Nothobranchius furzeri: one gene and its partner. The protein of the gene in region 1 purifies or fractionates together with the protein of each later gene. This does not show direct contact. Links are inferred from orthologs where the notes say so. Each region holds a gene or a part of one and is shown on either strand. Other genes may lie near its edges.

Region 1 (4,519 bases):
CATATAAATCTAAAATATATAATATCTATCCATCCATCCCTTTTCCCTCTACTTATGTGAGGTTGGGTCGCAGCCTGAGCAGAGGCCCAGACTTCCTTTTCCACATGACTTGGGACAGCTCCTCAGGGGGAATCCCAAGGTGTTCCCAGGACAGCTGAGAAACAGTCCTCCCAGCCTGTCCTGGGTCTCCCTTTAAGTCTCCTCCTTGTTGGATGTGTCTGGAAAACATCACCAGAGTTCAGGAGGCATCCTAACCAGATCTACTCTGATTCCCTCCCAGATGACTGAGCTTCTCACCCTATTTCTAAGGAAAATTCTGGACATCCTGTGGAGAAAACGTCATTTTGGCCACTTGTGTCTGCAACCTCTTTCCTTCGGTCAATACCCAAAGCTTGTGACCATACTATAGATGAGGGTCGGAATGTACATGGACCAGTCTTCCAGCTCATCTCTCTCTTTACACCACAACAGGCTGCATTACTAGTACAACACCCTTATATACCTAAACATCTCCACTTGAGGCAGGACCTAGTCCCTGACCTGGAGAAGGCATTCTACCCTTTTTTGACTCAAAACCATGGTCTCAGATTTGGAAGAGCTGATTATCATCCTGTCTGCACTCGGCTGCGTACTACTCAAGTAAACGTTGGAGATTATTAAAATATCTAAAATAAATTTAAATATGTACAAAAACATTAAAAACTTCCATTAAGACAAGTTAAATCCAAATTACATGAAGAGAAAAGAAGGGCAGCAACAGTTTTTTTACAAATGGCAGTTAAAATTAGGATTTCTAATGAGAACATGATATGATGAGACAAAATGAAAAAGTTTGCATCTTCTTTCATTTATTTAGCACAATTTTATGAAATGCATTTTTAGAAAATGCTTTATCTGTCTTTGCTACCTTCTTGTGCTATGTTTTTGCACCTTAAATGTGTCTTTATCAAAATGTACCATGTTTATCTACATCGATATGACGTAACCCTATTTGCGGTGCAAGTTGGCTTGGTATGTGGGACTACCTTCAATTATTATAATGACAATAAAGGAGTAATCAAAAAAATTAAATAGGCATTTATCATTTACAGTGTGGACTGAGTTTCAGAGATCCTTAACACATTTCTCTGTATAGAATTTCCTTTGAAGGGGCATTAAAATACAAATACTTAGCTAAGTATTTCAGATAATTGTAATGAATAGTTTGACTAATAAGAACAAAATTCCCCTAAAAGGAAAAAAAGCAGGCATTTCTAAAGAAAAGAGAAAAAAAAGTTTGGTTTGAATATATGCTACAGTTGCTTGCCATAAAACTCACCAAACAATTCCCCGGATGAGCGCACGCTGAAGGCCTGCCTAATCGCGCAGCTCCTGCGGCTAACGTTAGCTGCTAACGGTGCGAAACATTTCTCCCAAATCTTCGACTCAAACTGCAGAAATGTTTGGTTCTTCGAGATCCGGAGGCTTACGAGGAGGCCAGGATCAGTTTAACTGGGATGACGTGAAAGTCGATAAACACAGAGAAAATTATCTCGGTAAGTACGTGCGTCTAGCTGCGCTATCAGTGCTAGCCAGAGTGGGCGAGCAAGCAAGCAACTGAGCGAGATAGTTCAAATCGTGTTAAAATGCACACTTTGGCCCCACAGGCGTCTTCCCATACCTTTTGTATTGGAGTCCCTCATTACACAGATCTTGGATGGTTTTTATGGCGTCTTACTTTCTACTTTACACACAGCAGGACCCTACTTTCTTTTCCACCTCTGAACCCTGAACAGAAAGCAGGTAGGCTCTCCGCTCCCCCTGAGCGCTGCCAACTAGCTAGTCAGCATGCCAGACACGAGCTACGTAGCAGTCAGCGCAAATGTGACCCAAATGGGATCAAAAGTCACATTTCTGTTTGGAATGTTGTGTTTTGGGGTTCAGGTCCATCTTGACAGTTGTTGATGTTAACATTGTCTGATAAAGAACTCATGGATGCTAAGCTACAAATGTGGAGTTTCTCTAAGAGATGCTGCACACATTTTTCCTTATTAGATATGAACCTTTAAAAGATTTTCATGGTCATGCATGAAGACAAGACTACCAGACCAGATCTTAAGTGTTTCAAAGACTGCATAAATGTTTACAAGTGAAATGTTTAATATTTAACATTATGCCACTCCTAAGTTTATTCAGTAAATAATTCAATTCAGGTTATTAAATAGTGCCAAATCAAGAGAAGACTCGTCTCACAAAGTTAACATTCCAATACAGTTCAGTTCATTAAGCCAGTCAGTAAAAAGTTTCCAGCAGATTGCATCAAGTCACTGACTTGTGTCAGTGTCTTTGCAGCAATCTTCATACTAAGCAAGCATGTAGCGACAGTGGAGAGGAAAACTCCCTTTTAAGAGGAAGAAACATCCAGAGGATCCTGGTTCAGTATGAGCAGAAATGAAAGGTTACCCCTATTTCACACTGGAGGCATCAGCAGTGCGGAACGGTTTACTTTCGCTGCGTGCCAGTACACACTGGGAGAATCTCAGCCATGGACCGGCTTCTCTGCCTCGCTTAAAGTGACAGTGTGTATTTTTCCTGGTGATAGGGGGCAGTAGATACCTAAATTGTTGCAAGGAAGCTGTATTTTTGTGTTGGAGTAAGACTTTAATAATGGATGCCCATTAGGGTCAAAAAGCCCTGGGGAGTGCAAACTTCAGTAAAATGCAGCACATCAGGCTCCCTTTCATCAGTGGCAACAAGTGAAGAGGTAAATGTGTAAAACAACGTTTATGAATGGTGAAAGTTTTGCAACAGTTGTTACAAATCAGTAATGTATTTTGTCCTCAAGGGCTCCTGTAGAAGGAAACACAGCATCTAGTATGGCGTCACCGTGAGACTTTGATCCTCTTCCATGTATTTTAGACCAGATTTTTATGGTTATGTTAAGAAGCCGCCAATATTTTTCAACAACTGGGCCTCATTTAATTCATGTTCAACATTTTGATGGATATTTCCAGAGATTAATGATAAAAACTACACATTGTCTCTTTAACTTGCAAGATCACAAAATCCCTCAAGACTTCAAAGCAAGGCCCGACCGATATATCGCCCGGCCGATATTATCGTCCGATATTGGGGTCATTAACACTATAGGCTATCGGCCAAAAAGATGGCCGATATGGCCGATATTGTGCTACCGATCCAGCAGATGGCACCAGCTTTATGAACTCATGTTGTGTGGCTCCACTACTTTGAACACAAATGATTTATGCTGTGACTGAGTTTGTGTGTTCTGTTGTTTTTGAGATCTGCTTAATAAATCTTATTTGCATTACTTGGAAACCCTAGTGAGTTATTGAGACAGTTCTTTGGTGTGTAACAGAGAAATAAGTTTGTATCAAAAAGGCAGAGAATGAGGGACATTTATCAGCCATTATATCGGCTATCGGCCTTTGTTAAAAGTTTTATATCGGTATTGGCCCCAAAAAAAGCATATCGGTCGAGCCCTACTTCAAAGATCACGGTTTGTTTATACCATCTGCTATTAATCCAAAAAGAAGTAAATCATGTTTGATGTCATAGATGATGCTGTTTCTCTCCACTGCCAGGATTAAACCCATGAAAAACACACCGCTGCACTTCTGGAACGATGCTGGGAGTAAAAAAGCTGTTAGTTCACATTTGTTGACGTAATCTACATATATGGGAAATGACATTGCTGCAATAGTCTTTCATTTTGAAAATTACCCGGGCATTTTACACTGAAACCGTGTCTAGCCTGTCTAGCCCTATGTTAACTTCGTAAATGACGTGTCCCAGAATCGGTCCACGGCAAAAATAGAACCTGATCTTCAGCGGCACGGCTGGTTTGAATCACCCCCATAGACTTTAATGGATTCTATTTTGAAGCAGTGCTGTTCTGTGCCGCTTATTCTTCCAGTGTGAAGTAGGGGTTAGAGTTAGAAACGTTGGTATAATGCAAGCGAAACTGGATTGCAGATTTAGTCTTTTTTCCTTGTACGCACATTCTCCTTTTGTTCCAGGAAACTCTTTAAAGGCACCAGTAGGACGGTGGCAAAAGGGGAAAGATCTGACATGGTACGCTAAAGACAAAAAGACTGGGAAAGCTTTGTCCAAGGCAGATGAACTTGCTTCTGTGAAGGCAGCAGAACACGAGGCGATGATGGCTGCCTTGTACGTGGAACTCCTCTTCAAATACATGTTGGTATCTATGAAGTTCAGATCATAAAAATATTTATTTATGTTTTAAATTCTCATCTAGAGGACACAAGAGTATAAAGAGACAACCAACTGGCCTTACCAAAGAGGTATGTGACAAAATGGAGAACATCTTTAAACATTTTAACGTGATTAAAAATGAATTCATTTTGATTTTATTTTTTTCAGGACCTTGTTGAGGTCTGTAGGAGGGATGAGGTGGATGGTGAGGAGAGGAACGTGGATCGTATTTCTGGCTTGGGAAGCTCCAGGTTATCACTTTATCATCATATGAAACTATTATGTTTAAAATAGTGTTTCAGCA
Region 2 (4,298 bases), on another chromosome or scaffold:
TCAGAAATTCTGTTTCTGCATCTTTATTTTTTAAAAGTTAAAAGGACGTAATACAAGGTAAAAGGAAACAAAATGTTTGTAGATCCCGGTAGAGGCAACATAAAACTAAGCTAACTTTTCTGAATCAACTTAGCACAAAATTTAAGAAAAAATCAAATGGAACAGAAGCACTCTTGCTATGACCACACATACAGCGTAGATGATGGCATTTCTACTGAGTCAAAGGAGTCTGAGAAAACGAGGGTTGTAGCTGATCAGCATCACAGCGTAGAAAACCACATGACATCTGAATGAGTTTATCTGGAGGAGTTGGAGCTGGAGCGAGAGCGATGGCGCCGGCGACCAGGAGACCTGGAGCGGGAACGGCGACGTGCCGGGGATCGTCTCCTTGGAGAACGAGACCTGAAACAACAAAAACGGCATTATTACCTGTACACGTGTGTGTGTTTATGGCTGAAACTGTCTGTAGGCGATACCTCCTCCTCATGCGTGGTGGGCTGCGCCGCCACATAGGAGGTGGTGGGGGCATTCTGCGAGGAGGAGACAGTCTGCGAGGTGGTAGACGGATCCGTTGAGGCAGAACAGCAGCGGCTGTGATTTCCTGTCCGTCAATCTGACCTGTTTTTATAATAGTCATAAAAAATAATCAACACACAGAAAAGACCCCCAGTGTTCCTGAGACCCAGAGGCTGTTAAATTGAACATGCACACCAACCTCCGTCCATGTGTTTAAGGGCCTTCTGTGCCTCCTCAGGGGTCTCAAACTCCACATAAGCATGGCCCTTGCTCAGGTGTGGGTGCATCCTATCCATCTGCATGTCAATCATTTTGATTTTTCCATAAGTGGAAAAGATCTCCTGGATGTGATCCTGGTACAACAGAAATAGAAAGGTCAGATATTCTCTCAACTTTGACACAAAATTATCTTGATGCCAAACAAATAAAACAAACTCTTTATTTTCTCCTTTTTGTTTTGAGCAGAGCATTGCTGATGACTAACACACCCGATGCACACAAGAAAATCTTCTCAGATTTTATCTTTAATTACTACACATTAAGGATGTGCGTGGCTGTTCTTGTGCACTTACATAACCTTGAGATTGCATCATAGTCTCAAATAAAAGCAGACATGATGAGAAAGAGAAAGCAGATGTTCTTCATTTAAGCTAACCTTGGTAACGTTTCTGGTCAGCCTTCCTAAGTGAACCTTAGTGGGTTTGACAATCGGGCTTCGTTTCCTTCGCTCTTTGTCCTCTCCTCTCTTCTGTGTTTTAGACCTGAAAAATCAGAAAGCAGTAAATAAATAACTAGAAACCAAAAGTCATCGTAAACACTGAGACACGAACAAAGACTTACGGTGATCGGGAGCGCCGGCGGTTGTCATGGCGCCTGCGGCTGGGGCTCGGCGAGCCAGAGGAGCTGGAGGAGGATGACGATCGAGAGCTGGACGATCCAGATCGACTGGTGCCAGAAGAGCTGGATCCACTCGAGGAACCTGAGCTAGAACCAGAGCTGCTGCTGGATGATGAGCTAGATCTGGATCCGGTCACAATCAGAACAAATGAAATGGTTTGTTAGGAATTTTTAGCACAGATTTCTCTAGTGATATAACAAATGAGAAGGAACTCAGACCTGCTGCTGCTGCTGCTTCCAGAAGAGGCACTACGACGTTTCCTTACTTTGTCCCGTCCTCTCTCTTTGTCTCCTTCCTTGGTGGCAGTCTTCTCTTTGCCCCTATCTTTAGATTTTTCTTCCTCCTTCCTTTTCGTAGGAGATGGTGCCCTAAAGTGATGTAAACATCTGTTAGTTTAGTTGTTTTACACAAATGGATTTAACAAATCTAAGAGCTACAAATTGTGGGAATGTTCAAATTCATGCAGAATTCAAATCTGGGTCTAATCTGTAATCTCAACAAGCTGAAAATGAAACCCAAAAAGTGTATTTTGTGTTTTCTGTCAGTTAAAATGAAACACAAAGCAACATTTTAACTGTTGTGTTTAATCTTTAATGCTAAGGAATATTTCTTTAGTGTGATGCACTACCATTACTGTGGAATTACCACAGAACGCTAAGTTGTTATTCCAGCTGTTAAAACAACAGACTAGTCAATAAACTTCTGTCTCTTTGTTTAGAATAATTAAACCCCAGTAGGTTTATTTCCTTTTGTGCAACAAAGATTTTTATAATTTTATTTTCTTGAACATTTATCAAAACTACACTGATGTCTCAATTTTAAAATAAATCCCTTAATGTAAAAGCAACTGATAAAAAAAACTAATAACGTTTTTCTCCTAATATTACACAACTTATCTGGCACCAAAAATTCAAGCCGTAAGCTAGCTGAAAGAGACTAAACACGATATACATGATTTATAACTGAAATAAATAAAAACAATCCACATCACACATAGTTTAGGGAGCACCAAATGTCTGCTGGAAATCGTAAACATTTGTTATGTTATTATAGGAAAAAGCAGCACTCAGGCAGAAATCCGCCGCCAACGAGTTTCATTCAGCCCGCTGCCTCTAAACAAGGAGAGCTCCGACCATGCCGTTAACCGATCACTCAGCTCTTCACGCAACAAGCACACGACGGTAAAACACGCCTGGGTTTTCAGAGTTGATTAACTAAGCATCACAACTAAAAACGGACAGTTTTAAGCCAGGAAAGAGCTCAAACCTACATTTTTTATGGACGATGTAGCTCTGCTTCCACCACTTGCGGCCTGTTCGCTTGTCGACGGTTGATGACGCCAGCGGAAGTTGCGTTCCTGCTTGAGCGCCACTTACAACTCATTTGTTTATTTTACGACGTTGACGGTGAAATATCAGCTTGCATTTCCGACATCTCTGTAGAAACACAGACGGACGCGCTTTTGGATATGAAATGAGTTTGTCAAGTTTGAAACGGTGGTGGGGCTTCGCTGTTGTTGACAGAGAGAGAGAGGTACATTAATGACAGATGTTGTTGACAGCTAGCTCAGCTAGCATCTGTTTTCCTGTAGATATGTGTCCAATGTTGACATGTAGATGCGGTTTGAGCTGTTGCGTTGCTGTAGCGCATTACGCGTTAGGACAGTGTTAACAGCTGTCTTTAAGAAGACACAGATCACAGCCATTGACGGACTGCATCAATAAATTCATATTAATCTGTTTTCATTGAGAATGGAAGTTTTGGGGCTTGGTTTGTGTTTTGAAACGTTCACCGTTTGGATTTCTTTTTTAAGGATTCCGGAGTAAAAAGGTGAAATGATCATGCATCATGCCTGTAATTTCACCATGGTTTAACCAGGATTTATTAAGTGAGCTCATATCCACATGCGTGAAACAGCCTCATGCTTGTTTTATAAAAGATTAATTATTTGGTCTCCTGATTACTGGAGTTGATTATTTGTACCTTTCAAATAACCATGTTTAACTGAGGCATTAATGGTCCATCTATTTTCAAGAAACTCCTGAAGACCCTGCTCTTCAGAGAACATCTTCTAAACTAGCACCCTCCCTGCACCCATCCCCTCTCTACTGTCCACTCCTTGTTCTCCATGATTCATCATGCTGCCTCACTGCCACCAACTGACTGGAAATTGTTTGTTGTTGTTACTGTTGTTGTTAGCCTCAAGGGCAACATGCTGATTATCACTTGTAAGTCACTTTGGAATCCAAAGTTTGGACTAAAGCGTCTGCAAAATACATAAACATCTATCTATTTAAATGGATGATTAAAAAATATTTAACCTGAGGTTTTGTTGCAGCCATGTGACTGGATGCTACATACGGTATGTTGATTATACATGTTCATTTCTGAATCAAGTGTGAGCTGAAAGTAGATTTTTATTTGCAGAAACATTATTTCATTTAAAAAAACTTCACTTTTCCTAAAATCTGGTTTCAATACCTGCACAGCCCTAAAACCTACATTTATGTCCCATTCACTTGTGCTTGAGATCATGAAGTAAAACGTGTGTGTAGATATGCTGATGAAGGTTCTCAGTCATCCAGGTCATGGTAACCCAAAGGGTTCAGATGAAGGCAACTGGACTTCTTTAGTTTCTTGAAGACAATTTGCTTCTCATCTGAGGAGCTTTGTCAATTCTAACTGGAATATGGGAGAGTCAAGCTGTCTATTGTTATTTAACGAGCCAAAACTACTCTGGGTACCCGCTTCTCCATCCCCTGATGAGTCGTCAGCCTCTATTGGGAGGGAGTTGTTGTGTTGATTAGATGCAGAAAGGTGTGACCTAGACTGAAACTGCTTGGAGACTCCAAAATTGCAGATACCCTAACTGGGCCTTTGTGAA

What was found.
Region 2: the proteins of c11h1orf35 (region 1) and RNA-binding protein with serine-rich domain 1 purify together in Homo sapiens (co-immunoprecipitation; 3 studies listed by BioGRID and IntAct, with this or other methods). This does not show direct contact. The link is inferred for Nothobranchius furzeri from reciprocal best matches to the Homo sapiens genes C1orf35 and RNPS1.

Annotation. Positions count from the first base shown.
Region 1 is NC_091751.1:49,802,697-49,807,215, reverse strand, and holds the start of c11h1orf35 (multiple myeloma tumor-associated protein 2), read left to right. Parts: upstream 1-1,560; 5' UTR 1,561-1,625; coding exon 1,626-1,782; exon of another isoform or gene 1,783-1,801; intron 1,802-4,019; coding exon 4,020-4,170; intron 4,171-4,258; coding exon 4,259-4,304; intron 4,305-4,383; coding exon 4,384-4,466; intron 4,467-4,519.
Region 2 is NC_091752.1:58,150,352-58,154,649, reverse strand, and holds RNA-binding protein with serine-rich domain 1, read right to left. Parts: upstream 2,809-4,298; 5' UTR 2,687-2,808; coding exon 2,685-2,686; intron 1,783-2,684; coding exon 1,633-1,782; intron 1,537-1,632; coding exon 1,357-1,536; intron 1,278-1,356; coding exon 1,172-1,277; intron 870-1,171; coding exon 716-869; intron 619-715; coding exon 477-618; intron 403-476; coding exon 297-402; 3' UTR 8-296; downstream 1-7. UniProt on the Homo sapiens protein: Part of pre- and post-splicing multiprotein mRNP complexes. Auxiliary component of the splicing-dependent multiprotein exon junction complex (EJC) deposited at splice junction on mRNAs.